Linked DNA regions of Saccharomyces cerevisiae S288C. The protein of the gene in region 2 binds, or shares a complex with, the protein of the main gene of each other region. Each region holds a gene or a part of one and is shown on either strand. Other genes may lie near its edges. The genes, in order: EPL1, ESA1, EAF6 and YNG2. A codon is read from its position in the direction of its gene.

Region 1 (9,058 bases), on a different chromosome or scaffold from region 2:
CCAAATTGGAAACCGATCTTACCTCCGACATGGTCTCCACCAATGCATACAAGGACTTGAAGTTCAAGCCTTACAATTTCAATTCTCAAGGTGTGCAAATATCTTCAGGTGCTCTTCACCCCTTAAACAAAGTCAGAGAGGAATTTAGACAAATTTTCTTTTCCATGGGATTCACAGAGATGCCCTCGAACCAATACGTCGAGACAGGTTTCTGGAACTTCGATGCCCTTTACGTCCCACAACAGCATCCTGCTCGTGACCTGCAAGACACTTTCTACATCAAGGACCCACTAACCGCTGACTTGCCCGATGACAAGACATACATGGACAATATCAAAGCCGTTCACGAACAGGGGAGATTCGGGTCCATCGGTTATCGTTACAACTGGAAGCCAGAAGAATGTCAAAAATTGGTCTTGAGAACTCACTCCACAGCCATCTCTGCCAGAATGCTGCACGATTTGGCCAAAGATCCAAAGCCCACCAGATTGTTTTCTATCGACCGTGTTTTCCGTAACGAAGCAGTTGACGCCACCCATTTGGCCGAATTCCACCAGGTGGAAGGTGTTCTTGCCGACTACAACATTACTCTGGGTGACCTGATCAAGTTCATGGAAGAGTTTTTCGAAAGAATGGGTGTCACCGGTTTGAGATTCAAGCCTACCTACAATCCTTACACCGAGCCATCAATGGAAATCTTTTCTTGGCACGAAGGTTTGCAAAAATGGGTCGAAATCGGTAACTCTGGTATGTTCAGACCAGAAATGCTCGAGTCCATGGGTCTACCAAAGGATCTAAGAGTCCTTGGTTGGGGGTTATCCTTGGAAAGACCTACCATGATCAAATATAAGGTTCAAAACATCAGAGAACTGTTAGGTCATAAAGTCTCTTTGGACTTTATCGAAACCAATCCTGCTGCTAGATTGGACGAAGACTTGTACGAATAAGCTCAGCAGTTCCTCTAGTTTTATATCGTCTGTCCCCAATTTTGTAGTAGTTATTGTACACAAAACAAATATATACGTATATGTTAATATAGATTCTGATTTACTTTCTGTCTCCATATGGGTTATGGTTTACTGTCCATATGGAGCCGTTGAGAGCGGAAACGACTTGTCTTGACCGGGTTCCCGAACTTATCAATAGGCTCCAATTCGCCTTCAGTGTGTGCGGCGGGTGATGATGATTGCCATTTCGACGCGGTAGCTTCTTTCAACCGTCTGTACTCTATAGCAACCTCTTCCTGTAGCCGGCCCGGATGTAGTGCTACTTCGTCCTCGTCATTTGTGTAACTTTCAGGAAATTCATGCTCAATGATATCATTCATAACATTGCCATCATTTTCCTCCTCCTCCATCGTCACTGGCTTGTTTTCTAGTTGAAAGTCTCGAATTTCGTCACGCAGCAACTCCACCTGCTTATTGTATTCTTTGAAATCCTCGAGCTTTTCCACTATGGTTCCTGGATCTTCCTCTAAATCGTCGTCATATAACCCCAATGAATATGCCTTGACCATATCATCCAAGTTTCCACCTAGGGCGTGATAATCGACATTTGTAATTCTAACCGGCTCACTCCCTACTGTGGCGCCCGTCTTAGCCATCGACCTAGACACCTCTTGGATTTTTGAAGGAAATTTATCTTGCTCATCAGTGTTATTTTTACTTTTGTTGGACAAAAGTTTCTTATTACCATCGTCATCATCATCATAATCGTCATCACTTATATTTTCGAGAATTTTGGGATCAAATTTTTTTTTCATTGATTTCGATGATCTTGGTTTTTGCAGTGATTTTAGCTTTTTCTTTTTAAAAGGAGTCTCAAACTCGCTCTTGCTGTTAATTTCCGGTTCTTTTTCCACTATATCGTTGATAGTAGGTTCTTTTTCTATAATATCCCCCACAACAGGCTTCCTTTCCACTATATCGTTGACAGCAGGCTCCCTTTCCACTATATCGGTGACAGCAGGCTCTTTTTCTATAACATCCCCCACAACAGGTTCTTTTTCTATAACATCCCCCACAACAGGTTCTTTTTCTATAATATCCCCCACAACAGGCTCTTTTTCCACTACCTCGTTCTCCACTGACCTTGTCGTTTCCTGTTTGAAAGTTGATAACGTATTTTCTTTTTTAGAAGCTCTATCCTTCCGGAATCTGGACACCCTAGTTCTTCTATTCGACCTGCTTGCTTCCCCTTCAAGTCTCTCTTGATTTATCAGTTCCTCTTTATATTTTTCATGCACTTCATCGGCCTCTTGGACACCCAACATCTTAGCAAATAAATCACCATCAAACTCATCCGATGTCATTTTATTAGCGATACCTGTGCTTTCCTGGGTTTCATACATGGGCACCGCAAAGGATTGCATCTGCCTCTTGTTCTCTTCTTTCAAGTTTTCGACTTCGTGAATTTCTAGAGAAGATGCAAACCCGACTTGTTTCTTTTTCTGCTTTTTGTCTGAATTCTCAGCAAAAGAAGACTTTTTCAAAATAGGTTTTAATGATTTATTAACGTCACCTTCTTCCCTCTCATGATCTTGGGATTGCTTTTGTGCGCGTAGGCGTTGAATTTGTTGTAAAAATGAGGACTGCGCTTCAAAGCCAGGTATAATAGAATGATTTAGATACTCTTCTTCATCTTCGTCCTCGTCATCCTCTTCATAGTTATCATTGACTTTGAAATTGGAGTTTTCGAACGCATCATAATCATAATTTATTTCATCAGTTTCAATATAGCCGTCCTCCAATTCATCTTGTTGGTCCATCTGTTGGACCAAGTCGGCAAATGTATACACGTTTTCTGTATCTACTTTAGATGGCTGCACTTTTTTCTTTACTTCATCGTTCCTTTTCAATAACTTTCCTTTCAAGTTTTCTTCGAATGACTTTGATTTCTTCTCCTTTGCTAATCCTTTCTCCTTTGGACCGACTGCAGGTGTCTGTTCTTTTTTGGAATTCGATTGTGATGGTTGCTTTGTTGTAGGGGTAACGGAACTACTTATGACATTTCCCTCGTCATCTAGTTCTTCTCTAATCTCCATAGAGGGCAGAAAATCTTCGTCGTTGTTCGCTTCGTCTTCTTCAATTCCATTTCCGTCCTCCATGTGATTCAAGTTGTCTAAGGTCTTTTTAGCCTCTTCGATCTTCAGGTTAAATTGCTCAATGGCGTCCTCCATTAGTTTTAATTTATCATCAACAAACGTGATGGCCTCCTCTTTGGTCTTTTCAACGTAATACTCATAGCCTAGACTTAGATATATCTTACTCGTAGAAATTATGATATCACCAAACACCATCCCTTGGCCTTCGCCTTCTTCTTCGCCATCATCATTGTCATTGATAAATCTAACCAGTCGGCTTCTGATATCTATATAGTGCTCTCTTTGTTCCGAAAGAAAGTTTCTCTTATCTTGCAGATTTTTCAACGTACTTTCTACGCTGGCCGCTAACAAATCCATGGCTATTACAGTCTGAGGATACCTGTTTACTATAAAATTCTACAGAATATTCATACAACACTCTCTGTTAAAACCTTTAAGAGCAGCTCATCGCCTATCCTCCAAGGATAAATTTCAAAACACCCAAACATTAGGGTTACCCGTATATCGCTACTTCTTCCCATACTCGCTCACCATAGTTAGCACCCCATACCGCAGGAGTAAGCGAGAAACAAAGGGATAGAGGAAAAAAATTTTCTCCGTCGGCCGCGGGTGGCAAAAGCACGATCCGACCACAAAATTGTACTATTACATATCACATGGTATAGCATACAAGCAATACCTGTGAGAGGTTACTACACAAAAGCAAAAAAGTTTGCAAAAATCAGCCAAAACTGTGCTCGTATTCTGGTGGTCATTAGACACTCGCAATATTATTACACCACATCGCGTTCCTCTGAGCTGCTATAATAAAATAAACGCTATCTATTTTTGACTCCTCTTTTTGCCACCCTCGCCTTCCTTTTGTCCATATTCTCACATTGTACGGCAACTGCGGACTTCAGGTCAACATAAATAAAAATTGCACACGATAGGGTAACATTATAGTCACGTGCTTATAAAAACATTGTAATAACATTAGCAAATAACGATAATAACGATGCCGACACCTTCAAACGCTATAGAGATCAATGACGGTTCGCATAAATCTGGTAGAAGCACTAGGCGGTCTGGATCTAGGAGTGCGCACGATGACGGTCTAGATTCATTCTCAAAAGGCGATTCAGGTGCTGGAGCCAGTGCTGGTAGCAGTAATAGTCGATTTAGACATCGAAAAATATCTGTGAAGCAACATCTTAAGATATATCTGCCTAACGATCTGAAACACCTGGATAAAGATGAATTGCAACAGAGAGAGGTGGTTGAGATCGAAACTGGTGTAGAAAAAAATGAAGAAAAGGAGGTCCATTTGCATCGAATATTACAAATGGGTTCTGGTCATACAAAGCACAAAGACTATATTCCGACCCCGGATGCTTCTATGACTTGGAATGAATATGATAAGTTTTATACGGGCAGTTTCCAGGAGACCACCAGCTACATCAAATTTTCTGCCACTGTGGAGGATTGCTGTGGTACCAACTACAATATGGATGAAAGAGATGAGACCTTTTTAAATGAACAAGTCAACAAAGGTTCATCAGACATTTTAACTGAAGACGAATTTGAAATACTTTGTTCCAGTTTTGAACATGCTATTCACGAGCGTCAACCATTCTTGAGTATGGATCCGGAAAGTATACTTTCTTTTGAAGAATTGAAGCCCACATTAATAAAATCAGATATGGCTGATTTCAATCTAAGAAACCAGCTGAATCATGAAATAAATTCTCATAAAACACATTTTATCACACAATTCGACCCCGTATCTCAAATGAATACGAGACCTTTAATTCAGCTGATAGAGAAGTTCGGCTCTAAAATTTATGATTATTGGAGAGAAAGAAAAATTGAAGTTAACGGGTACGAAATTTTTCCGCAGCTGAAATTTGAAAGGCCGGGTGAAAAAGAAGAGATTGATCCCTACGTCTGTTTCAGAAGAAGAGAAGTGAGACATCCGCGGAAAACAAGACGTATAGATATCTTAAACAGTCAGCGTTTAAGGGCGTTGCATCAAGAATTGAAAAACGCGAAGGACTTGGCCCTGCTTGTTGCTAAACGTGAGAACGTTTCCCTAAATTGGATTAATGATGAATTAAAAATATTCGATCAAAGGGTAAAAATTAAGAATTTGAAAAGATCTTTGAACATTAGTGGAGAAGACGATGACTTGATTAACCACAAGAGAAAACGCCCCACGATTGTTACGGTCGAACAAAGGGAAGCTGAACTAAGGAAAGCTGAACTTAAGAGAGCAGCTGCTGCAGCAGCGGCAGCGAAGGCAAAGAACAATAAAAGGAATAACCAACTTGAAGACAAATCTTCTAGGCTCACCAAGCAGCAACAGCAGCAACTGTTACAGCAACAACAACAACAACAGCAAAATGCCCTTAAGACTGAAAACGGAAAGCAACTCGCGAATGCATCCTCTTCTTCAACATCACAGCCAATTACGTCTCATGTTTATGTCAAACTACCATCTTCCAAAATTCCTGACATTGTATTGGAAGACGTGGATGCTCTATTGAACAGCAAAGAAAAAAATGCAAGAAAGTTCGTTCAGGAAAAGATGGAGAAACGGAAAATTGAAGACGCAGATGTCTTTTTCAACTTAACGGACGATCCCTTTAATCCTGTATTTGACATGTCGTTGCCTAAAAATTTTTCGACTAGTAATGTTCCCTTTGCATCTATCGCGTCATCCAAGTTTCAGATAGATAGATCTTTTTATTCTTCACATTTACCAGAATACTTGAAGGGGATATCTGATGACATCAGAATATATGATTCAAATGGCCGTTCGAGAAACAAAGATAATTACAACTTGGATACCAAAAGAATCAAAAAAACTGAACTGTACGACCCATTCCAAGAAAATTTGGAAATTCATTCGAGAGAGTATCCAATAAAATTCAGGAAGAGAGTTGGTAGATCTAATATTAAGTATGTTGATCGTATGCCAAATTTTACAACATCGTCGACCAAGTCTGCATGTTCTTTAATGGATTTTGTAGATTTCGATTCAATCGAAAAAGAACAATATTCAAGAGAAGGTAGTAACGATACTGACTCGATTAATGTTTACGATTCCAAATACGACGAATTTGTCAGACTTTACGACAAGTGGAAGTATGATTCTCCACAAAATGAATATGGGATCAAGTTTTCAGATGAACCGGCAAGACTTAACCAGATTTCAAATGATACTCAGGTGATTAGATTCGGAACAATGTTGGGTACGAAGTCCTACGAACAATTAAGGGAAGCCACCATAAAGTATCGTAGGGACTATATCACCAGACTGAAACAAAAGCATATACAACATTTACAACAGCAACAACAACAGCAGCAGCAGCAACAGCAGCAAGCACAACAACAAAAGCAGAAATCACAGAACAATAATTCAAATTCTTCGAACTCCCTAAAAAAATTAAATGATTCGTTAATCAATTCAGAAGCGAAACAGAACTCTTCTATAACCCAGAAAAATTCATCATGAGCAGCACAACTTTGTACCTCTCGAACATCTTTCTACGCATTGGCATTTAACAAACCTGACATTCAAAGTTTACTACGAAAGTCGAGGCAACATTACTGAAGATTCAAATCACCGAAATGAACACCGATAACGCAATAATAATGAAAAAAAACAAAAAACAAAAAAAGATAACTACAATAAATTTCAAAAGAAAAATAGCAAGTATCATCCGGCTGTAATATTATCACCTTCACAAGACTACATATTTTTAACGTTTTTTTTAATTTCCATTTCACACGGTTGTGACCTTTTGATTTTTCGCATGATTTCATCCCAAATGCTTGATGTATTTAAGTTAGATTCATACTCTTATATAGACAATTGCATAACTCACTAGGTACCCTCAAATAAATGCATTTCTTCTTATTATCCATTTTTTTTTCCTGTATGGCGCGAATTTTGAAAAAGGTCTAAATATACCAACCAAGTCATAACAAGAAAAAGTAAAAATGAGTCTCAACACATTCCTTGCAGTTCCATCTGATAGTAAATTCACACTCGAAATACTCCCTCTACTTTAAAGCATTGGCCTATATCTTAGGCTTACCATCATACAAAAATCTTCATTTCGTTATGGGTATCAGGAGATTAGTTAGTGTTATAACGCGGCCCATAATTAATAAAGTTAACTCATCTGGTCAATACTCGAGAGTACTCGCTACGCGTGAAGACCAGGATAAAGCTTCCCCCAAATATATGAACAATGATAAGATAGCAAAAAAACCTTACACATATCGCCTTTTCTCTATTCTTGGCATTTTAAGCATTTGCTCGCTTTTATTGATATCGCTACTGAAACCTTTTAATGGTGCAGATGCTCCTCAGTGTGAATCTATCTATATGTTTCCATCTTACGCAAGGATCGATGGATTTGACGAGAGGTATACACCACTGGCACACAAGTATCATCTTTACTTGTATCGAGAACAAAGCGTAGACCGAGAACCTTTAAATGGTGATGAGTTACAACTTGATGGTATCCCTGTACTTTTTATACCCGGAAATGCAGGTTCTTTTAGGCAATGCAGATCGATTGCTTCCGCTTGCTCCAATATATATTTTGATTCCAATACCAGGGCGACTCTGCGTAACGAAAATGTGCGAAATTTGGACTTCTTTACGGCAGATTTCAATGAAGATTTCACTGCGTTTCATGGTGAAACAATGCTTGATCAAGCTGAATACCTAAATGATGCCATTAAGTACATCTTGTCTCTTTACGAAAGGACCCCTGATTACCCACATCCAAAACCGCAGTCAGTTATTATCGTGGGACATTCCATGGGCGGTATTGTATCCAGGGTCATGCTAACTTTGAAGAACCACGTACCGGGAAGTATAAGCACCATATTGACCTTATCATCACCTCATGCTGCTTCACCAGTAACCTTTGATGGTGACATTTTAAAGCTTTACAAAAATACAAACGAATATTGGAGAAAGCAGTTATCCCAAAACGATTCTTTTTTCTCTAAGAACATTTCATTGGTTTCCATTACAGGCGGTATATTGGATACTACTTTACCTGCAGATTATGCATCTGTAGAAGATTTGGTTAGCTTAGAAAATGGGTTCACCAGCTTCACAACTACTATTCCAGATGTTTGGACTCCAATTGATCATTTAGCCATTGTTTGGTGCAAGCAATTAAGAGAGGTACTAGCGCGCCTTTTATTGGAAAGTATAGATGCCTCCAAACCTGAAAAAGTTAAGCCATTGAATCAGAGATTGCAAATCGCTAGAAAACTATTGCTTTCAGGGTTTGAAGACTACTCATGGATGAATAGTAAGTTAAATTATCCTCAAGAAAACTTACAAGAATTTAGTGACAACTTCTTTTCTGATTACGCTACTTTGGAAATGAACGATGTCCTAGATTTTGAAATGTTTAACCTGGAAAAGTGGCACAACAATTATACAAAAATAAATATTCCGAGTAACATCTCCTCCACTGAACACCTGCATTTCACATTATTAACTAGTCTCGATATGCCTATGATCTATTTCTGTACAGAGTCCAGGGTGAATCTAAGCTGTATAACAGCTGTTGATAGTATTCTAACAGTGCCCAGGTCTTCAAAAGATACTCAGTTCGCAGCTGATTCTTCTTTTGGAGAAGCAAAAAATCCGTTTAAAGCCGTTAGTGTTGGCAAGAATATACTACAGAAGTACGACTACTTGATGATAAGCAAACCCACTTACGGTGAATTTTCAGAACAAGAAGGCATGGAGGACAATCAGGGGTTTCTTTTGGCATTACTGCGCAACGTCTCCAATGTACAAATAGTCAATACTACACCTTCTCAAATATTGCTCTTTGGAGAACAACTACACTTGGATGGCAAAGACATCGAGCAGGTTATAAGTTTCAGTAATTTGTGGGATTCTTTATTATCGTACAAATTAGAAACCAAGATTGA
Region 2 (8,101 bases):
ACCAAAATGTAAGCTAGGTGAGGGAAATATTTTGGAGCTTAAATATCTCGAACGACACTCACTCTCGTCAGAAAAATCTGTCGAGTAACTCAGACCACCTCCGATAGCATACCTTGTTTAGTTTCATAATCGGCAGAGACGTCATTCCTGCACAGAACGCCAAAATTCGTGGCCCCCGCGGTACCTGAATCAGGGCCAAGAATTTTGGCGTTTCGTGTTGTTGACATATTCCGAAAAAGGTATTGAGCCACAGGTCTTTCGCGTCTTCTAAGCCCCAAGATAAAGAAAATGCCGCCCTGCTTAATCACTGTTTTTTTTTGGAAAACCCTGAAGTATAGAAGTAGGGCATTGAAAGAAAAGATATGCGGGTAAGATATGAAAAAATTGAGGAAATGAGACCCAAGTGTACATGGGTATATATAAACAAATCATTATGGTGCATGATGCATCACTTACAATGCACACACACTATTGTCTTTGTAGAAACGGGGAAGACAATGGTTGTAGGCCTGATTGGTATTAGAGGCATCCGCAGTACGAGACATACGCCAAAGGCAGAATGTTAGACCCACGAATATTGCCATACTACGACCCGGCTGTGGAGAGGAAGATTGCTGTAGTAACAGGCGGAAATACGGGTATTGGGTGGTATACTGTCTTGCATTTGTATTTGCATGGGTTTGTCGTTTATATTTGTGGGAGAAACTCTCACAAGATTTCGAAAGCAATCCAGGAGATACTGGCAGAAGCAAAGAAGAGGTGCCATGAAGATGACGACGGTTCAAGCCCAGGCGCGGGCCCAGGTCCAAGCATTCAGCGTCTAGGGTCACTGCACTATATCCATTTGGATTTGACAGACTTAAAATGTGTGGAGAGAGCGGCACTTAAAATTCTCAAGCTGGAAGACCACATAGACGTGCTTGTTAACAATGCAGGGATTATGGCGGTGCCCTTAGAAATGACGAAGGACGGATTTGAAGTGCAATTGCAGACTAACTACATTTCGCACTTCATCTTCACGATGAGATTATTGCCTTTACTGCGCCATTGTCGTGGCAGGATCATTTCCCTGTCCTCGATAGGCCATCATCTAGAGTTCATGTACTGGAAACTGAGCAAGACGTGGGATTACAAACCTAATATGCTTTTCACATGGTTTAGGTACGCGATGAGTAAAACCGCGCTAATCCAATGCACGAAGATGTTGGCCATCAAATACCCTGACGTTCTTTGTCTCTCCGTTCATCCGGGTCTGGTGATGAACACAAACTTATTCAGTTATTGGACAAGGTTACCCATCGTCGGTATTTTCTTTTGGCTGTTGTTCCAGGTCGTAGGGTTCTTTTTCGGCGTATCGAACGAACAAGGTTCACTAGCTTCTTTGAAGTGTGCATTGGACCCGAATTTATCTGTCGAAAAAGATAACGGGAAGTACTTCACCACGGGGGGTAAAGAATCTAAATCGAGCTACGTTTCTAACAATGTCGACGAAGCGGCATCGACTTGGATCTGGACCGTTCATCAACTAAGAGACCGTGGTTTCGATATATAACAAGACGGAAAGATTGAAAGAGTAGATAGATGTACATTTTATTTAAATATTAGTTAGTCGTTATTGTAACTGGTAATCAGAGCAAGAAGTTTTTCTGTACTTTGTTCTCTGCAGGCAACTAAGTTACGGGCCGACAAAGGCTTATGATGTGCGTTTTTTATTCAATTGATAGATTCAGTCAGCATTGACGTAATGGGAAGGCTAGAAAAAGAGAAGACTGAATTTGGAAACTTATTCCTCAAAGCAGACCAGTACTTCCACCGCATTTCTGTACTTAACCAAGCACGACAGTGGTCTATCAGGCTTGGATCTTTCACTACACTTCCGCCAAAGTTTTTTTTTTTTCCTGTTTATCCCAGATCACGTTTGTTCCATTAAGGAGGTTTACTATCATCTCATTTCCATTTACACATACACTTACATATACATAAGGAAACGCAGAGGCATACAGTTTGAACAGTCACATAAATGTCAGGAACATTCAATGATATAAGAAGAAGGAAGAAGGAAGAAGGAAGCCCTACAGCCGGTATTACCGAAAGGCATGAGAATAAGTCTTTGTCAAGCATCGATAAAAGAGAACAGACTCTCAAACCACAACTAGAGTCATGCTGTCCATTGGCGACCCCTTTTGAAAGAAGGTTACAAACTCTGGCTGTAGCATGGCACACTTCTTCATTTGTACTCTTCTCCATATTTACGTTATTTGCAATCTCGACACCAGCACTGTGGGTTCTTGCTATTCCATATATGATTTATTTTTTTTTCGATAGGTCTCCTGCAACTGGCGAAGTGGTAAATCGATACTCTCTTCGATTTCGTTCATTGCCCATTTGGAAGTGGTATTGTGATTATTTCCCTATAAGTTTGATTAAAACTGTCAATTTAAAACCAACTTTTACGCTTTCAAAAAATAAGAGAGTTAACGAAAAAAATTACAAGATTAGATTGTGGCCAACTAAGTATTCCATTAATCTCAAAAGCAACTCTACTATTGACTATCGCAACCAGGAATGTACAGGGCCAACGTACTTATTTGGTTACCATCCACACGGCATAGGAGCACTTGGTGCGTTTGGAGCGTTTGCAACAGAAGGTTGTAACTATTCCAAGATTTTCCCAGGTATTCCTATTTCTCTGATGACACTGGTCACACAATTTCATATCCCATTGTATAGAGACTACTTATTGGCGTTAGGTATTTCTTCAGTATCTCGGAAAAACGCTTTAAGGACTCTAAGCAAAAATCAGTCGATCTGCATTGTTGTTGGTGGCGCTAGGGAATCTTTATTAAGTTCAACAAATGGTACACAACTGATTTTAAACAAAAGAAAGGGTTTTATTAAACTGGCCATTCAAACGGGGAATATTAACCTAGTGCCTGTGTTTGCATTTGGAGAGGTGGACTGTTATAATGTTCTGAGCACAAAAAAAGATTCAGTCCTGGGTAAAATGCAACTATGGTTCAAAGAAAACTTTGGTTTTACCATTCCCATTTTCTACGCAAGAGGATTATTCAATTACGATTTCGGTTTGTTGCCATTTAGAGCGCCTATCAATGTTGTTGTTGGAAGGCCTATATACGTTGAAAAGAAAATAACAAATCCGCCAGATGATGTTGTTAATCATTTCCATGATTTGTATATTGCGGAGTTGAAAAGACTATATTACGAAAATAGAGAAAAATATGGGGTACCGGATGCAGAATTGAAGATAGTTGGGTAATAATGAATTCATTGGAAAACACAAAATATGTTAGAATAAATAAGGATTTTTTAGTGTTTGGGCTGTATATCTTAAGTAAGAGTATTAACTTACAGGAATACTGGAGTTCTCGTTGAATATTAGTGATTGTTTTACGTAAATTTCATTTATTTAAAGCTTTTACATTAGAAGTTGTTTGAATGTAAGTTTAGGAAAGCACTACATAGCTTACCAGGCAAAGCGTAACTGAGAGGCAGTAAATACCGGTGGTTTCCATATGAGTCTATTAGGGTCTATTGTCCTTCTCTTTTTGGCTTTAAGTCGATTGTACCTATCTAAAATATCTTCATTCAGGAAAATAATATGCTGACCCTTGTAATATCGCAGGATATTCAGTGTCTTTGCTGTGTGTAATATATCTGTAGTGGTCATCGAAGTCATGGAGCTTATTTCGTCTATAGTAATTTCCTTCTGGTGTTCCACTAATAGCGTTATGAGAGTGTCCGACCAATAGGCTCTATAGGATAAGAGACCCAAATCAGACAAAGGTTTCTCGGGAGAACCAACTTTGTTTTCCTTTTTCGACAATTCATACGAAAATTCAATCAATAACTTACCATATCCCATCCTTTGGTATTGTGGTAGTGTTAAGATACATGCAACATTGTAACCATCCGCGGATTCTTTTTCCTTGGAAAAATATCCCACCAGATGGTGACCCAACTCATCTCGTCTCGTCATGCAATAAAACAAAAACGGATCAACGTCATAGTATAATGTTTTGTGATCTAGGAAAAGTTTGGAAAGTAAACACAAGTTTCGACACCAAGTCCTTTGCTTTCTACCATCGATTTCAAAGAATGAAACATAATCGTCTCTGTAGATTTCATTTCCTGGCGGATGTCTTAATGTACATTTCTTCCTGTAGCGTTCGTATTGTTTCTTAGATCCAAAATACTGCAACGTGAAATCGTCGATATATATAAAATCTTCATCAGTTAATTCAATAGGATATGGAGAAAAGTACCATGGTTCTATTTCATATTTCCCCATAATGATTCGATTGAGATTTCTAACTCGAGCCACCTCATGTGGATTTTGTGTCATAGAGCCGGAGGTTCTAAGCTTTTTTATCTCATCCTCGTGTGATATGTTCTCATCTTTTATTCCCTGTACATTTAGATTATCTAAGTCCATAACATCCGTATTTTCTCTTGAGAAACCATCTACACCATCTTGCAGAGAGTCTTGTGGCGTTTCACTAGTATTTGTTGCCTTCTTCTTTTTTTGTTTCTTATTATCTTCATCAGTAGCCTTTAGTTTCGGATATAGTACTTCTTTATCCAGGTTTATTCTGTCAGTGGTAATCCACTCATCTAAACGCTTGTTGTAATTAACATAGTGAACATAGAATTTTGGTGGTGCTTTTCTTGTGTTTATGGATAAAATTTCAGCTAATCGTTCTTCATCATTTTTTTGGACCCAGCATTGACATTTGATAATAATATCATCTACTGAGTTTATCTTTTTGGCAATACCAGGTTCTTCTTTTCCGTCATGGGACATCGATGATTTCTTGCAGTATTTCCGAGAATGGTAGCACAGGAAGCGTCTAAAGAATGGTAAAGCTCTTTTCTATTCTCCTTTGATTACTATAATAATATACACCTTTTAGCAATATTCGTTTTGCATTTGCTCCGCCGGAAGCCGTTTTCATCTTTTCAACGGGCGGGTAGTAATTTGGAAAATTTTCCATCATTATAATAATGATGAAATAGTCAATAGGTACAGCTCATCGATTAATTATAATCACGTTGTTCCTTCCCAAGGAAAAAAGCAATATCTGTTGCATGCCATGTCTGACTCCTCAGAAGCCACTGTAAAGAGACCCCTTGATGCTCACGTAGGACCTTCCGAAAATGCTGCAAAGAAGTTGAAAATTGAGCAACGTACTCAGGCAGATGGTATTCACGAAGCAGATGTCGGTATTACTTTGTTCTTATCTCCAGAATTGCCAGGATTTAGAGGCCAAATTAAGCAGCGTTATACTGACTTTTTGGTCAACGAAATAGATCAAGAAGGTAAGGTCATTCACTTAACTGATAAAGGATTTAAAATGCCAAAGAAACCACAACGCTCTAAAGAAGAGGTCAATGCAGAAAAGGAGTCTGAAGCAGCTAGAAGACAAGAATTCAACGTCGACCCCGAATTAAGAAATCAATTGGTGGAGATATTTGGTGAGGAAGATGTATTGAAAATAGAATCCGTTTATCGCACGGCTAATAAAATGGAAACGGCAAAAAATTTCGAAGATAAATCTGTTAGAACTAAAATTCACCAACTGTTACGTGAGGCATTTAAAAATGAATTAGAATCTGTGACTACTGATACTAACACTTTTAAGATTGCAAGATCAAATAGAAATTCAAGAACCAATAAACAAGAGAAAATTAACCAAACCAGGGACGCTAACGGTGTAGAAAATTGGGGATATGGTCCCAGTAAAGATTTTATTCACTTCACTCTACATAAAGAAAATAAGGATACTATGGAAGCTGTCAATGTTATAACAAAGTTGTTAAGAGTTCCAAGCCGTGTAATTAGATATGCAGGTACTAAGGATCGTAGAGCAGTAACGTGCCAAAGGGTTTCGATTTCAAAGATTGGTTTGGATAGACTAAATGCTTTAAATAGGACTTTAAAAGGAATGATTATCGGAAATTACAATTTTTCGGATGCAAGTTTGAATCTGGGAGACTTGAAGGGAAATGAGTTCGTTGTTGTTATTAGAGATGTTACCACCGGCAATAGTGAGGTATCACTGGAAGAAATTGTGTCTAACGGCTGTAAGTCTTTATCAGAAAATGGGTTTATCAATTATTTTGGTATGCAGAGATTCGGTACATTCAGTATTTCTACGCACACAATTGGTAGAGAATTGCTCCTTTCAAACTGGAAGAAGGCTGCTGAGTTGATTTTATCTGACCAGGATAACGTGCTTCCTAAATCTAAGGAAGCTAGGAAGATTTGGGCAGAAACTAAGGACGCGGCTTTAGCATTGAAGCAGATGCCAAGACAGTGTCTCGCAGAAAATGCGTTACTATATTCTTTATCTAATCAAAGAAAAGAAGAAGATGGAACTTATTCTGAGAACGCTTATTATACTGCTATTATGAAAATTCCCAGAAATTTGAGAACTATGTATGTACATGCCTACCAAAGTTACGTCTGGAATTCTATTGCTAGTAAGCGGATAGAACTACATGGTTTGAAGTTAGTTGTAGGTGACCTTGTCATTGATACTAGTGAAAAGTCACCACTAATTTCTGGGATTGACGATGAAGACTTTGATGAAGATGTCCGTGAAGCTCAGTTCATTCGTGCAAAAGCAGTAACTCAAGAGGATATCGACTCAGTTAAGTATACCATGGAAGATGTCGTGTTACCATCGCCGGGTTTTGATGTGCTTTATCCTTCCAACGAAGAATTGAAGCAACTGTATGTGGATATATTGAAAGCAGATAATATGGACCCATTTAATATGAGAAGAAAAGTTCGCGATTTTTCATTGGCTGGCTCTTATAGAACTGTTATTCAAAAGCCAAAGAGTTTAGAGTATAGAATAATTCACTATGATGATCCTTCTCAACAATTGGTGAACACTGATTTGGACATCCTGAATAACACCAGAGCAAAAGAAAGCGGCCAGAAGTATATGAAAGCCAAGTTGGACAGATATATGCCAGATAAAGGCGGTGAGAAGACTGCGGTGGTGTTAAAATTTCAATTAGGAACCTCCGCATATGCCACCATGGCATTACGTGAACTCATGAAGCTTGAGACTTCTCGCCGTGGCGACATGTGTGATGTTAAGGAGAATATCTAAGGTTATACGAGGTGCAATATTCATGTATATTAGTTTACTTTTTTTGTCGGAAGCTCTTTCCCTCATACACTATTGTTGTGTCCGTGTCGTGTCACTTCAGGCGTCGGTAAATATGTATCTGCGCATCGCACACAAAGATAAAGCCTTTTTAAATATAAACAACACCTTCTAGATATATCTTATCAAAGGATACAACCACGTTTCTCAACAAGAAGGACCTAATAGAGGAAAATTATTATACTGTAGCTATCAATATTTTATAAACAAAAAGACAGATATATTCTCGCGTATTGAAGTCGGGAATCCAACGAAGGTAAAATAATAATAAAATACGAAGCATTTAATCCGGTCAAATGTACAAGAACTATTATTCAAACACAGAAGTTTATAAAAAGCATAAAGACTCTGGAAGTTTGAGGAAGAAAGCTTTGAGATCGAGAAGATCATCTTTTTTTTCATTTTTCAATGACTCGTCTAGTTCGAATGGAAACGAATTCATAGGTTTTAGACGATTTGCAAAAGCATATCTGTTTGGTCGTGAGATAGGTTCATGTGGTACAGATTCATATACACCAGTTGGGGCAAATGTAAACAAAAGACGTTTAAAAAAAGAAGATAAAAACGATCAACAGCTTTGGAAAAGGCAGCACCATTCACAGGGTTGTTTTTTTCCCATAGATGATGACAGTAATAAGCAAACAGAAGCAGCCGTCAACAAATTTTATGAGAATGGAGAATACGTTAATCAGGATTTAATTTTCAAGGGAAAAGTATATTCAGAAGAATCAGAGGTTGTTGATGAGAAAACGGCAGGTTCTCAGAATCCCGCTCTTCTCAAAACAAGATCAATTTCATTAAACGATATACCGCGCGGCACAGGCATCTCTAGTGTATTGTCTCAAGTACGCGGAGGTTCCTTAGAAAGAATTATTGTCTATAGGTACGATACTCCGGAACGT
Region 3 (5,136 bases), on a different chromosome or scaffold from region 2:
ATACTCTATTAGTTTTTTTTTTGTAAAGGAAAGTTATCAACATTCATTTTGACCCAATAAGTATTCAGAGGTTAATATTTTAGACGTGTCGCGCCCTACGGGGTTGATGAAAAGGTGGTATTTAACGAGAAGGGGGAGCAGATCACATGAAGTTATTAGGTAACAGCGGGAGACAAGACAGAAACGAAGTTTGAGAGAAAGGAACATCAGATCACACTATGGAACATCCAGCATATACATTGAGTCTTTTGACTACAGCCGGTGGCCTTATGGGATACTACCGTAAGGGCTCCATTCCATCTCTAGTATCTGGCTTAGTATTCGGTAGTGTATATGGGATTGCCGGTTACTTGCTACATATGAATAGAGATGGTGGGCTCGAAATGGCATTGGGTGCATCGACCTTACTACTTGGTGCTGGTGTCATAAGAGGCATGCCTTCCAGGTTCACTAAACCTGTCCCTGTCGTTTTGACAGCTTTGGGTGGGCTCGGCAGTTACTACTATTATAACAAATACAAGGAATTTTACCCTTAGAGAAGGAAGAAGACGCACGATATATATACGACCCTATATATATATATAATATGATATTCTTTTATGAACAAACTTTCTTTTTTTTTTCTTCGTTCAATTATTGACTATTTTTCTATCATTTGCTATGGGGAAAGGGCTCCTTCTTACTGAAAACGATGCAGCGGTTGGAGTGAGAAAGATAAGCACGCAAAAGCCCACTTGCTATAGCACTTGCTAGACGGCATTCTAGGGCATCCAACTGCTCCTCTTCGTCCTCATTGGCAGAACTATCGTGTTGTTTTGTTGCCAGAAGAATTTTCAAGGGCATGATACTTTTCCGATCATTCCCCCATTGCCAACATCGTTGTACCAACCGAGTGAAGACCACCTCTCGAAGTAATGTGATGACGACATGCAATCCTTGCGAAAGGAAAAATCTTTCATGGCTTGCTGCGGTAGCCTCGTACAGTGACAGGTTCCCTGAGATTACGCTACGCACTAATGTCGGATAAACTTGACTTAAGCGCTTACTCCTAGTAATTACTCCGGCGATTACTGGATGATCCCAGTGAGGGTACAACCTTTTAGTTAAAAGAGCAAGCGGAACCAGCAGTATCATTATCTTTTCCATTTGGCCCTGTAAGACGAACTTGCCGGTAGATTCCACATATAGCATTGGACATTGCAATAATGCTTCATTTAAATGGAAGAACCCGCGTTCGTGATCGTTTTCCAGACATCCGTAGTATTGACCTAGATAATAATTATACAACACCACTTGAGACTTATGTTCCATTGCCAGGCTTTTATTCAACGGTGGTATATCCCGGGCGTTCACTCTGCTCTCGAGGACTTTCACTAAATTTTTAATCATATCTTTATTACTTAACCGATGGTAGATGGAAAACTCTAGATTAGCAAACATATAACACCCGATTTTTTTATTTTCATTCAATCTTGGGTTCCTATCATTGAGGCATATAGTAAAGCTTCTATGGATAGTGCGTCCACATTCCTCAATTGAGTCTTTATTAAGTTCACTAGATTCGTTTGCCAGACGAATTAATTGTTTAGCCATTACCCACAGCGGATAAATTATCCAATTGGTTTCTCTTTCTACTATTCTGTTGAAAAGTTTCAACTGTTCATTGGCTAATCGCAGCAATTCCTCAGTAGCATTCTTGATCCGCCCTTGCTTCTTCAATGACCTCCGCTTGGAATACTTCAATTTTAGATCTACTCCTAATTGGTAAAACCTTTGTAATCGTACACTCTCTTCATCTGTCGCCGTAGGCCTTTGTAGTATATATTTAGTCTTTTTAGGTGTTTTAACGTCATATCTGATGAAGTCTAACAGTTTGTCGTCATAGCGTTTCTCTTCAAAATAACATCCTATATCAACATCCATGATTGGTTGTAGAAACCGTTGCTGGACCTTTCTGTTCCTGTGTAACTCTCTCCAGACATTCCTTTACATACAATTTTCTTTTTTTTTCCTGACCTTTATCGTTAGCTTTTTCAAAATCAAAAACAATACGATTGAGGAATACTACTAACTAGCCAAAAGCAATACAAAATACATCCATACATACGCCCTAAAGTAATGTCAGAAGACCAGCGTGTAATTAGTCAACCAATTGAATTACATAAGCTGTCGATTGTCGATAAACACTCCCAAGGACAGCAGCAACAGCCGCATCAAAAACAACATGAAGTGCAGCCTGAATCAAAATCACCAAGGGTTACGACACCTTTAAAGCCCAAAAGACTTGCTATACCTATATCAAGTCCGCAAAGATCTACGACAAATCAGTCACCCGTGAGCGACCACGCAAGTCCGATTTCAACAGACCAAGATTTAATATATAAATTAGCTGCAAAACACAGAGAAATCAATGAACTTAGTTTCAAATTAGAGGTCGCCCAAAAAGAATTAAAACAATTAGAGTTACAGTTCAAAGATACACTGCCCCGAAATGGACAACAGAAATTAGGTAACCAGAACCCAAGTGAATACCTCTCTACTTTTACCAAAAGAATTCAACAGACATTTGTGGACGTAAATAATTCACCAAATATGCTCAAGGGAAAAAAGAGTATAAACGATTTTTTTAGTAAGCCCAATAATAATGTTAATAGCAACATAAATAACACTCTACCCAATCGTAAACCGAACCCTCCGCCTAATCGGTCACAACGTATGCAAAATATTGCTCCAAGCCGTAGTTCAGAATCAACTCCAACATCGGGTCCTCCCTTGCTACCCCCAAGGAATACTATGAAGAATGCTAATACCACGGCAACTGCTGGGGAGAACACACCATTCTTACAAAGAATACTTAACAAATTCAATCAAATGAATATGGAAGAGGACGAATTCGATGACCTTTTGGAAAAGAGGAAAAGTAAGAAAGATCACTATTACATAAAAGAAAATTTGGGTTACGAATACGATGAAGTACGCAGTGAAGACGAGGATGATGAAGAGTTTGAACCCATGGGTGACATACCCGTTCATTTATTTAAAAGGTAGCTAATGTCCACTATTGATGCTTTCTCAAGAGACCTTCATATGTAATATTCTCATTAAATACAAAGATTAAACGGCTTCATTTATGCATTCCTTTATTTAGGTAAATTTTTTTTGCCCGATTTTTGGTACTACTGCTTTCCTTTTTTAAATGTAATTGATATTTTTAAAAAAACCTCACATGTAGGCGATTAACCCAGGTCCTTCAACAACTTGCCGACTATGCCATTAAATTAATGATTAAAGGTGTGTAAAGCCACAACGAAAGCAAAGAATATACGTAAGATAAACATCTTTAGAGAACAGCCATTTTCCATCATCTTTCCGTTTGTTACCAACCTACGCCTAGAAGAAAATGACTGATGAGCTGAAAAGTTATGAAGCATTGAAAGCGGAACTAAAAAAGTCCCTCCAAGATAGAAGAGAGCAAGAAGATACCTTTGACAACTTACAACAAGAGATATATGATAAAGAGACCGAGTATTTCTCACACAATAGTAATAACAACCATTCAGGTCATGGGGGAGCCCATGGGTCAAAATCACACTATTCTGGTAACATCATAAAAGGGTTTGATACCTTCTCCAAGTCACACCACAGCCATGCAGATTCTGCATTCAATAACAATGATCGTATTTTTTCATTAAGTAGTGCTACGTACGTGAAGCAGCAGCATGGCCAATCACAAAACGACTAATGCGATAGCACACGTTGGTATTTACGTTGCTTGACCGCTCTAAAACATCTGATTGAAAAGAAAAAGAGAGAAGAAGGAAATGATTTCGACAGGTGACCTTTAAGTTCGATATACCTACATATTGGCTATTTCTTTTATTTTTCATTTTCTATAAAATATCTATATAAGTATTTTTATAACGATTTACTAACAAGGGCAAAATTTCAAAGGTCCCGTGCTCCCAGTCATTTTATTGGCTGGCGAATAAACGGATACAGATAAACAAAACAGAAGCACAGAAAAGGATATCCACCCATCATGATAAGCCCAAGGGTGAATACTCGAGTTTGGCAGAGATCAATTTCTCTTTTGAGCCCACAAGCGGCCAAGACGGAGAGTAATGTCGTAACTAAAGAAAGGACATATATCGAGAACTTAAGCAAGGATATTGCGACTTCCCGTTTCAGGCTAGTAGACGAAAATGGTAAAATTGCATCTATCACTGTTCAACCAGATATTCCAATTTGTATCAAAAAGGATTGCCTAGTTTCCATTCACAATTTGAACCATTTATCCCTTTCCTATAAATGGCTGAATTTTTGGTCAAACCTGATTAAATTTCGTTCATTCAAATCTTCATTGTTTCATAGAATTATTGGATCCTCCGTTTTAGAAATTCTGGCTGCCCCAAACTTTCAAACATCGAGAAGACCTTTCGATTCTTCAAGAAGCTTGTCCGTACTGAATTTGACCGGGACAAAGGATTGGAATGTATTTGGCAAGGATTCAATTATCGCATTTGAACAGAACTCCAGTCTGGAAATCAAATCGCCTATCTTTCCCTCTGCAAGGTCTTTAGTCTCGAACTCATCAAAATCACAACTACCACGGAAATTTCAAATTCTGAATGGGAGAGGAAATGTGTTAGTATGTGGAGGTGGGTTGGTATATTCAATTGAGTTAATTGATGAAAGCGACAAAATTCTGGTTAATTCCAGAAACATTTTGGCCATCAACGGCCAAAGTCAATTGGATATTGCAAATTCAGTGGAGAGACAAGAGTTACACGTGGAAGGCGCGTACGTCGGAGATTCAAGTAATGATACGGTGGCACCTAAATTCATTAAGAACCAAACGCTAAAATCTGCTTACGGACATACTGTTCAATTTTTCAAAAGAATGCGCAGTTGGATCCGTAACCAGTACGAAAAAAGATACATTTATGGTGTCGACTCGTACTTTATGAAGATTAAAGGTCCAAGAACAATATTGATTCAAACGCATGAAATGACAACATCCAAAGATAATATTCTAACTAAACTAACGTCCAAGGGCCACGTTAAGAAGAGCAACGTGAATGATAACGGTGTCAATTTAGAGAAACAAGTGGCTAACGATGTAAATTCAAAGATCAT
Region 4 (7,685 bases), on a different chromosome or scaffold from region 2:
CAACCGTAGTTCTTCGTCACTAAACAACGAAAATGTAGACTCGAGATTTCTTTCCAAGGGTCAATCATTTTTAAGCAATGGAAATAATAACATGGGCTTTAAGAGAAACCATATGTCTCAATTCATTTATCCAGTCCAACAGCAGCCGTCTTTAAACCACTTCACTGATCCGAATAACACCACTGTGTTTATCGGAGGATTGTCATCACTGGTGACTGAAGACGAATTACGTGCTTATTTCCAACCTTTTGGCACGATAGTCTATGTCAAAATTCCGGTAGGCAAATGTTGCGGGTTTGTCCAGTATGTTGATCGGCTATCGGCTGAGGCTGCCATTGCTGGGATGCAAGGGTTCCCCATTGCAAATTCAAGAGTTAGACTGTCTTGGGGCAGGTCTGCTAAGCAAACAGCGTTGCTTCAGCAAGCCATGTTAAGTAACTCTTTACAGGTTCAACAACAGCAACCAGGTTTACAGCAACCTAACTACGGATACATTCCATCCAGTACGTGTGAAGCACCTGTTCTGCCAGATAATAATGTTTCATCCACGATGCTTCCTGGATGTCAAATTCTGAATTATTCTAATCCATACGCTAATGCGAATGGATTAGGCTCGAACAATTTCAGTTTCTACAGTAATAATAATGCTACAAATACGCAAGCTACTAGTTTACTGGCTGACACTAGCTCTATGGACCTCTCAGGCACGGGTGGCCAACAAGTTATCATGCAAGGAAGCGAAGCGGTTGTTAACAGCACTAATGCAATGTTAAACCGTTTGGAACAAGGCAGTAATGGTTTTATGTTTGCTTGAGCCACACGTGTATATAAAAATGTTTGTTTTCCTTTTGGCCCTTTTTCTTTCTTGGTATTTTCTTTACTTCAGTGTTAAATTGTATTTGGTCTTAGGCTGACGGTGATATAACAGCGCTTTATTTTCTTTTTTTCATTGCTTTTTATCGTTTTCAAGATTCCATGTCCTTTTATTAAGTCTTTTTTGTATCGTTATAGTTGCGTTTTTCCTTTTGATTTTCATTTCTTTCAAGGTTATTGTTATTCTTAATTCAATTCAAGATTGTACGCTTTTAAGCATGTTTATGATTTTCCTTTATTACTTCCATTTACCTTCTTTCCATCACTACTCATTACGGCCTGTCAATTCCTTTTTTGCGTCACCTTCATTTTTTCTTCTCTGTTCTTTTCTGTATTTGTCGAAAATTTTATATTGATGTATCTTAATTTTATTTTTAGTATTATTATACTGTAAATGTTTCTTACTGTGTCAAGATTTCCCGTTGCGCTATCTTCCAAGACTACGTAATGCGTTTGTCTCTCTATTCATGTTGTCTCTGTATAGGGGCACGGCGAATTCCTACTCCGTGTCTCTTCTCCTATATCTTTACACCAAATTTGGCCCATTTTCATTCCCCTTTACGTAGTAGCGGTTTTCGGCCTGCCGGTGCTACGCGTTTCTATAGCTAGTTTCGTTTTCTCACAAATAAATCCTAGCAGGAGGAAAAGAAAGCGCAGGTTGAAACTCCGTTCAGAAGAAGAAAGCCACTCTTTGAAAATACTGCCCACGCAATTGTCCCTTTCTGACAATAAGACCCCTTACTACTAGTAAATGTTTTTATTCTCTAAGCTTCTTTTCCTCTAACTTCGACGCTAGAGCAGGCACTACCCTGTTGGGCCGTACGTAACAACAACGACCCCTTATTTAGTCGAAGGGATCGCCAGAAACAGGGAGCAAAAGATATTTAAGTGATGAGAATCAATTTCGATGATGATCACAAGCCAATGTTCTTTAAACTCAATTCTTGACTAATAAAAAAGCAGCTATCAACAAATTCATACTTTGAACAAGCTGATAAAAATAAGAAAACCATCGCATACACAAAATAAAATCAACATGTCTACTGTAACCAAATACTTTTACAAGGGTGAAAATACAGATTTGATTGTCTTCGCTGCATCCGAAGAGCTTGTAGACGAATATTTGAAAAATCCATCAATTGGTAAGCTATCTGAAGTTGTCGAACTCTTCGAAGTTTTCACTCCTCAGGACGGTAGGGGTGCCGAGGGTGAGTTGGGCGCTGCCTCCAAGGCCCAAGTGGAAAATGAGTTCGGTAAGGGCAAGAAGATCGAAGAAGTTATCGATTTGATATTGAGAAATGGTAAGCCAAACTCTACCACCTCTAGTCTCAAAACCAAAGGGGGTAACGCCGGAACCAAAGCCTACAATTGAGTAGCTTTTCCTTCTGTCTGGACAGCCTGCATTGAAATATGCAATAAGTTAAATTGGCGTGCTGCCCTGTCATAACGCATGCATTCTTCTTTTACAGTAGTAGAAAGAACAAAAAGGTGTATATTTCAATATACATATTTACGATCTATATAACGTTGTATACATTTAATTCAGTGCATTTTTCATTTTCGCGTTCGTCACACATGATTATTTATACAAAGGAAAAGTAAAATTTTTAGCGATGAGATGTAAAAAGAAATGCGATGCCATAAGCTATACTTTACGATTGAACACCTAAGGAAGAGGTAAAGCAGGCTTAATATATTGAAATACTAAAAAATGGCTCTCGGTAATGAGATAAACATCACAAACAAGCTAAAGAGGCAAGAAATTTTTGCTGATATAAAACATGAAAAAAATAAAGAGCGCCATACCATGAGAAGAAAGAGAGCTAAGGAAGAGAGAGAGAATCCGGAGCTGCGGGAGCAGAGATTAAAAGAGAACGTAACACAGACGATAGAGAACACTAGAGTGTACGATGAGACCATTAACAAGGAAGTGGAGGGAGATGAAGACGATTTGATGAGATACTTCAACAGCAATTCTAATGAGCCACCAAAGATCTTTCTGACCACAAATGTAAACGCTAAGAAGAGCGCTTATGAATTTGCTAACATTTTAATCGAAATTTTACCAAACGTCACATTTGTGAAAAGAAAATTTGGCTACAAATTGAAGGAAATATCTGATATTTGTATAAAAAGGAATTTCACTGACATCGTGATAATCAACGAGGACAAGAAAAAGGTTACTGGCCTAACATTCATACATCTGCCAGAGGGCCCAACTTTTTATTTTAAATTATCATCATTTGTTGAAGTGAAGAAAATTGTCGGTCATGGTAGACCAACTAGCCATATTCCAGAATTGATTCTAAATAATTTCCAGACCAGATTGGGTCAAACAGTAGGTAGGTTGTTTCAGTCCATTTTACCTCAGAATCCTGATATTGAAGGTCGACAAGTTATCACCCTACATAATCAAAGAGATTACATTTTCTTCAGAAGGCATCGGTATGTCTTCAAAGATAATGAAAGGGTTGGTTTGCAAGAACTGGGTCCACAATTTACCCTCAAGTTGAAAAGATTGCAAAGGGGTATTAAGGAAGAAACTGAATGGGAGCATAAACCTGAGATGGACAAAGAAAAGAAAAAGTTTTATTTATAGTGTTCCATTCGTAAACTTTGTATGGATATAATATTAAGACAACCGTAAGAACCGTGGTCGTTTGTTTAACTACGGCGGCTTCTGGTATTACTGAATTTCTCTTTTTTTCATTTTAAATCAATTTATTACAGGTAAATCAATCAAACAAATATATATATATATAGTATACAGAACAAACGGTAATTTCTTTTTTTTTTTTTCGACGTTAGACGTGCTTCGGCAGATATAGTAAGTTGGAAGAAATGAAGAATTGTGAAAGATAAAGGATGGTTTTTTTTTTTATTTTTTTCTAGCTAGATTATCTTCTACCTCCTCTGAAACCACCACGAGATCCGCCACGAGATCCTCCTCTAAATGATCCGCCACGAGATCCACCTCTGAAAGAACTGCCACCACGGCCTCCTCTGAAAGAACTACCACCACGGCCTCCTCTGAAACCTCCTCTGCTACCACCGCGACCCATTGAAGCACCACCACGGCCACCTGGGGCACCACTTCTCTTCTTCTTGTTTTTTGGTTTTGGTGGGCCTACCACCTTAGGCTTAGGTAAAAATCTTTCAATAGGCAATAGTTTGTCAGCGGCAATGTAGAATTTATCACCTTCTTTAAAACTGGTTGCTTGGACACCGTCACCACACTTGATAGTGAAAAATACTTCGTTTAATGGACCCAATATTTCGTCAACTTTACCGACTTGAGTCTTGTTTTCCAAATATATTGGCGCATTGAAATATGGAATCTTAGTGTTGATAGAACGGCAAACAATATCACCCTCACATGGATGTAGAAAAGCTCCCATTTCTAGAACAGTGTCTGGTGGTCCTTGTTGAAATGATCTAGCACTGCCTGTACGTCCACCACGAAAGCCGCCACGGAAGCCGCCACGGCCACCTCTATTACCTCCTCTGAAACTCATTATTTTCTTTTGGTTAAAAATTATCCTCAGGTGATCTTTTGGTAGAAGAGAGCAATCAGATACTCTATCGAAAAGGTGCTCACGTTATAAGGCTAACAAATTAATTTTTTCTTCCTTTCCTCATCTCGAAAAATTTTTCACTACAAAAAATTCCGACGTCAAAGTTTGAAAAAAAGACCATCTGATCACGTGACACCTTTTTCCTGCTCATAAGTTTTAAAAACCGTATGACACATATGCTAATGAAATTAAAATATATAGTATATACCTGAATATGCAGGAATCATATCTTAGTTTGATTCACAAGTATTTGAAAGTACATTCAAAAATGTCAATCGTATATGTCCTTGCTAGCTGATGTCTCGAAATTACTTCTCCTTTTCGAAAAGCACATTGTCAGAATAGCAATCACCGTTTCTGGCTTATGGAATATTATTAGTGTAAATGAGGTCATTCAGTCTCAAAAAGGTATTTTTGTTCAGTTACGTTTTCTTTTCAGTTTGTTTTTTTCCATCTCAATTTTACATTCGGGACAGTACCATGTTCCTTTCGGAGGTTCTTTTAAATTTACACAATCATAATGAAACCATTCATATTTACAGTTGGGTCCATCACATGCAACCATTTCTCCAAACGAAACTCTTTGACAGAAGCAGTATAAAGTTTTGTCCTCTTCCTCGTTTTCAGGGGAACCGTTTTGGCCTTTACCATTTCTACTGTTTTTGAATTCTTTTGTTCTTGCAATCTTCTTTTCAATGCTTGGGCTCACTGGAGTAACAGACTTTTCTCTTGAAGAAACGTCAATTTCATTTTGCAGTTTAGATGTTCGACTAGTTTTTTTCTTTTTCAAAGTGGGTGGAACGGATCCTGAGCTTGATGCAGCTCTTCTCTTTTTCACGCTACTGTTACTCACAACTGAACTTTCTCTAGAGGCTTCAGCAGCGCTATCCATGTCTCCATCTTCTTCCACGGGGGCTAGAACACCATCTTCCTCCAATAAAGCGATGTTTTTTTCCAACTTATTCAAGTGTCTAGCAATTAGAAACAAGGCAGTGTTCGCCAGAACGCATTTTTCTCTTTGCAAAGACTGACATTTCAAAAGTGATTCTTTTATTTCTTTGTCAAGCCCATCTTCCTGTGGATGTTTCGGTATTGAGCCTTGCTGTCTTATAAATTTGTGTATTTGTGATTCTTTTTGCTCGTATTTCTTTTTTTCTTCGATGAGCTTCAAATCATTTGAACCGATCTCCTCTAAGAGGTAACGAAATTCTGATGGGAGGTTGGACACATCTTGTATCGTTTGCTCTAAAACTAAACTTGGATCCATCTTCTATTGGTTATGTTGTCCAATATAAACTTGCATATCCTTCTTCTTTGTTTCTATTTCAACTAACGGTAGGTGGGTTATTCAAGAATCAATTAAAGGAAAATCGGAAAATATCACGTTGTACGTAACAATAAACTTTCTTCTATTTACATGTTTATAAATTGGTTAAACTTAATCTAAATTAATCTAGCATTTGCTAGCTTATTCATATAATTACATTCTATCAACCGGGACTAGTCCCAAAAGCGACATTGCATTGTGTAACACTTGTCTACTTGCTGAATATACGGCGAGTCGCGGTATGGCAATATCTGCAGGTTTTCCGGAAACCCATATTTTTTTATAGCACGAGGAGACCTGATGGCAAACTTTGAATAAATATGTTACAATCGTGGCCGGCTCTTGAGTTTCGAATGCTCGTCTAAGGACATCTGGATACTGCGCTAGCAACCTCACAAGCTCAACTAGTTGTGGTTCATTTAAATTTGAAAAATCTGCGTGTATTAGCATGTCCGTCGTAAAGTCGCTGGAGGTCCTTTCTAAAGATCTAAGTCTGGAATGTGTGTATTGTAAATAGGGCCCTGTGTCACCTTCGAAAGACAACATTCTGTTCCAGTTGAATTCATAGTTATTGATACGCTTTGATTTCATATCTTGAATAATGATAGCAGATACGCCAATTAAATCTGCAACACGCTGTGGATTATCTACCTGAGATATTTTCATTTTGTTATTTTCCATAATTTGCAGAGCTTTATCCCTTGCCTCGTCTAGTATGGTATCTAAGAATACCACATTTCCTTTTCTGGTCGACATGCCCTGCACCATACCAAAATTTATATGCTGCAAGTCTTTTGCCCATTCAAAATTCATTTTTTTTAATATCATAAAAAACTGGGACATGTATAAATCTTGCTGTGAGGAAATCACGTACACCATTTTATCAAAATGTAGATTCTTTTTACGCTCTATGGCTGCCCCTACATCTCTTGTCAAGTACAAAGTTGTTCCGTCTGATTTTTGTACAACAACTCTGCCCAATCTTTTCGACCATTGGGTTAAATCGATGACAAGGGCACCGTCTATTTCTTTAACAAGATTGTTTTTGCGAAATATATCTAAGGCTTCATTCATAGATTCTTTAGACACTTGTGATTCACCGGAGAATATATCAAAATTAATGTTCAAACGTGAATAAGTTTGGATATAGTGGTGGATGGATAACGAGCGAAACCTATTCCATATCTTAATGGCATTCTCATCCCCATTTTCTAAGTTTTTGAAAAAACTACGGGCCTCACCGCTAATCCCACACTTAGAGTTTCCGTTTATCTCTTCCTTGGCAAGGTCCATGTTGATTTTAACGTAGACGTCGAATAAATGCTGAATTGGCTGCTTTTGTAACGTCTTTTCATCGCCGTATCTCTTAAAACCGACTGCTAACAAACCAAACTGTCTGCCCCAGTCTCCTAGGTAGTTCATACGTGTAACGGACCACCCCATTGCTTCATATAAGTTTGAAAGGAATCCACCTATTATAGTCGATCTTAAATGGCCTGCATGGAATGGTTTGGCAATATTTGGTGATGAAAATTCTACTACAACTTTTTTCTGATGACGAGATTTTTTCTGACCATATTTCCCCTTTTGAAGTAATATATTTGGTACCGTTGATTGTATCAAATACCGCTGGTCCAGGAAGAACTGAAGAAATGGCCCTTTTGCACAAACCTTTCCAATACACCCATGCGTGCTTAGTTCAATGGCCCATCGGTTGGCAACGGCCACAGGGTCAGCCACTTTTATCTTTGGAAGAGGTAGCAGTAGATCACCTCTATCCATACTATTTGTCGACTCAAGCGCATTTAGTATTAGCGAGTGGTCTATTCCGGATATATCATGCAGTGCTTTTGAGATGTCTAGGCGTAGTACATCCAAAGGATAAATTGGGCCTTCGGGTTGGTCAGTAT

What was found.
Region 1: the proteins of ESA1 (region 2) and EPL1 are in contact, whole or in part, in a crystal structure (PDB 5J9U), measured with the Saccharomyces cerevisiae proteins. Residues at the interface, in NP_014887.3 of Saccharomyces cerevisiae: Ser153 (codon at 4,366), Met154 (codon at 4,363), Thr155 (codon at 4,360), Gln156 (codon at 4,357), Asn157 (codon at 4,354), Pro158 (codon at 4,351), Ala162 (codon at 4,339), Arg163 (codon at 4,336), Val164 (codon at 4,333), Arg165 (codon at 4,330), Ile171 (codon at 4,312), Gly173 (codon at 4,306), Lys174 (codon at 4,303), Tyr175 (codon at 4,300), Glu176 (codon at 4,297), Ile177 (codon at 4,294), Trp180 (codon at 4,285), Phe182 (codon at 4,279), Pro184 (codon at 4,273), Tyr185 (codon at 4,270), Pro186 (codon at 4,267), Ile187 (codon at 4,264), Glu188 (codon at 4,261), Leu189 (codon at 4,258), Thr190 (codon at 4,255), Tyr196 (codon at 4,237), Ile197 (codon at 4,234), Asp198 (codon at 4,231), Asp199 (codon at 4,228), Phe200 (codon at 4,225); in NP_116629.1 of Saccharomyces cerevisiae: Lys75 (codon at 4,323), Asp119 (codon at 4,455), Tyr120 (codon at 4,458), Ile121 (codon at 4,461), Pro122 (codon at 4,464), Thr123 (codon at 4,467), Pro124 (codon at 4,470), Asp125 (codon at 4,473), Ala126 (codon at 4,476), Ser127 (codon at 4,479), Met128 (codon at 4,482), Thr129 (codon at 4,485), Trp130 (codon at 4,488), Glu132 (codon at 4,494), Tyr133 (codon at 4,497), Phe136 (codon at 4,506), Tyr137 (codon at 4,509), Thr138 (codon at 4,512), Gly139 (codon at 4,515), Ser140 (codon at 4,518), Phe141 (codon at 4,521), Glu143 (codon at 4,527), Thr144 (codon at 4,530), Thr145 (codon at 4,533), Ser146 (codon at 4,536), Tyr147 (codon at 4,539), Ile148 (codon at 4,542), Lys149 (codon at 4,545), Phe150 (codon at 4,548), Ser151 (codon at 4,551).
Region 3: ESA1 (region 2) and EAF6 share a complex: the UniProt entries of both Saccharomyces cerevisiae proteins name them as parts of the nuA4 histone acetyltransferase complex.
Region 4: the proteins of ESA1 (region 2) and YNG2 are in contact, whole or in part, in a crystal structure (PDB 5J9U), measured with the Saccharomyces cerevisiae proteins. Residues at the interface, in NP_014887.3 of Saccharomyces cerevisiae: Asn226 (codon at 4,147), Arg242 (codon at 4,099), Lys243 (codon at 4,096), Ser439 (codon at 3,508), Gln440 (codon at 3,505), Trp445 (codon at 3,490); in NP_011958.1 of Saccharomyces cerevisiae: Leu5 (codon at 5,703), Glu8 (codon at 5,694), Gln9 (codon at 5,691), Ile11 (codon at 5,685), Gln12 (codon at 5,682), Ser15 (codon at 5,673), Asn16 (codon at 5,670).

The regions. Positions count from the first base shown.
Region 1 is NC_001138.5:85,388-94,445, reverse strand, and holds EPL1 (Epl1p), read left to right. Parts: upstream 1-4,100; coding exon 4,101-6,599; downstream 6,600-9,058. Other genes in the region: FRS2 (phenylalanine--tRNA ligase subunit alpha), read left to right, coding at 1-947; BUD27 (prefoldin-like protein), read right to left, coding at 1,070-3,460; BST1 (Bst1p), read left to right, coding at 7,212-9,058.
Region 2 is NC_001147.6:789,252-797,352, reverse strand, and holds ESA1 (NuA4 histone acetyltransferase complex catalytic subunit ESA1), read right to left. Parts: upstream 4,823-8,101; coding exon 3,485-4,822; downstream 1-3,484. Other genes in the region: ENV9 (Env9p), read left to right, coding at 560-1,552; DGA1 (diacylglycerol O-acyltransferase), read left to right, coding at 2,021-3,277; pseudouridine synthase PUS7, read left to right, coding at 5,112-7,142; SSP2 (Ssp2p), read left to right, coding at 7,496-8,101. UniProt on the Saccharomyces cerevisiae protein: Catalytic component of the NuA4 histone acetyltransferase (HAT), a multiprotein complex involved in epigenetic transcriptional activation of selected genes principally by acetylation of nucleosomal histones H4, H3, H2B, H2A and H2A variant H2A.Z.
Region 3 is NC_001142.9:580,520-585,655, reverse strand, and holds EAF6 (Eaf6p), read left to right. Parts: upstream 1-3,400; coding exon 3,401-3,742; downstream 3,743-5,136. Other genes in the region: TMH11 (Tmh11p), read left to right, coding at 219-536; YJR084W (uncharacterized protein), read right to left, coding at 652-1,923; ACF4 (Acf4p), read left to right, coding at 2,119-3,048; AIM24 (Aim24p), read left to right, coding at 4,040-5,136; YJR079W (uncharacterized protein), read right to left, coding at 4,417-4,603. UniProt on the Saccharomyces cerevisiae protein: Component of the NuA4 histone acetyltransferase complex which is involved in transcriptional activation of selected genes principally by acetylation of nucleosomal histone H4 and H2A. The NuA4 complex is also involved in DNA repair.
Region 4 is NC_001140.6:278,911-286,595, forward strand, and holds YNG2 (histone acetyltransferase YNG2), read right to left. Parts: upstream 5,716-7,685; coding exon 4,867-5,715; downstream 1-4,866. Other genes in the region: NAM8 (Nam8p), read left to right, coding at 1-814; YHR086W-A (uncharacterized protein), read left to right, coding at 1,321-1,482; RTC3 (Rtc3p), read left to right, coding at 1,910-2,245; rRNA-binding ribosome biosynthesis protein RPF1, read left to right, coding at 2,585-3,472; H/ACA snoRNP pseudouridylase subunit GAR1, read right to left, coding at 3,771-4,388; arginine--tRNA ligase MSR1, read right to left, coding at 5,929-7,685. UniProt on the Saccharomyces cerevisiae protein: Component of the NuA4 histone acetyltransferase complex which is involved in transcriptional activation of selected genes principally by acetylation of nucleosomal histone H4 and H2A. The NuA4 complex is also involved in DNA repair.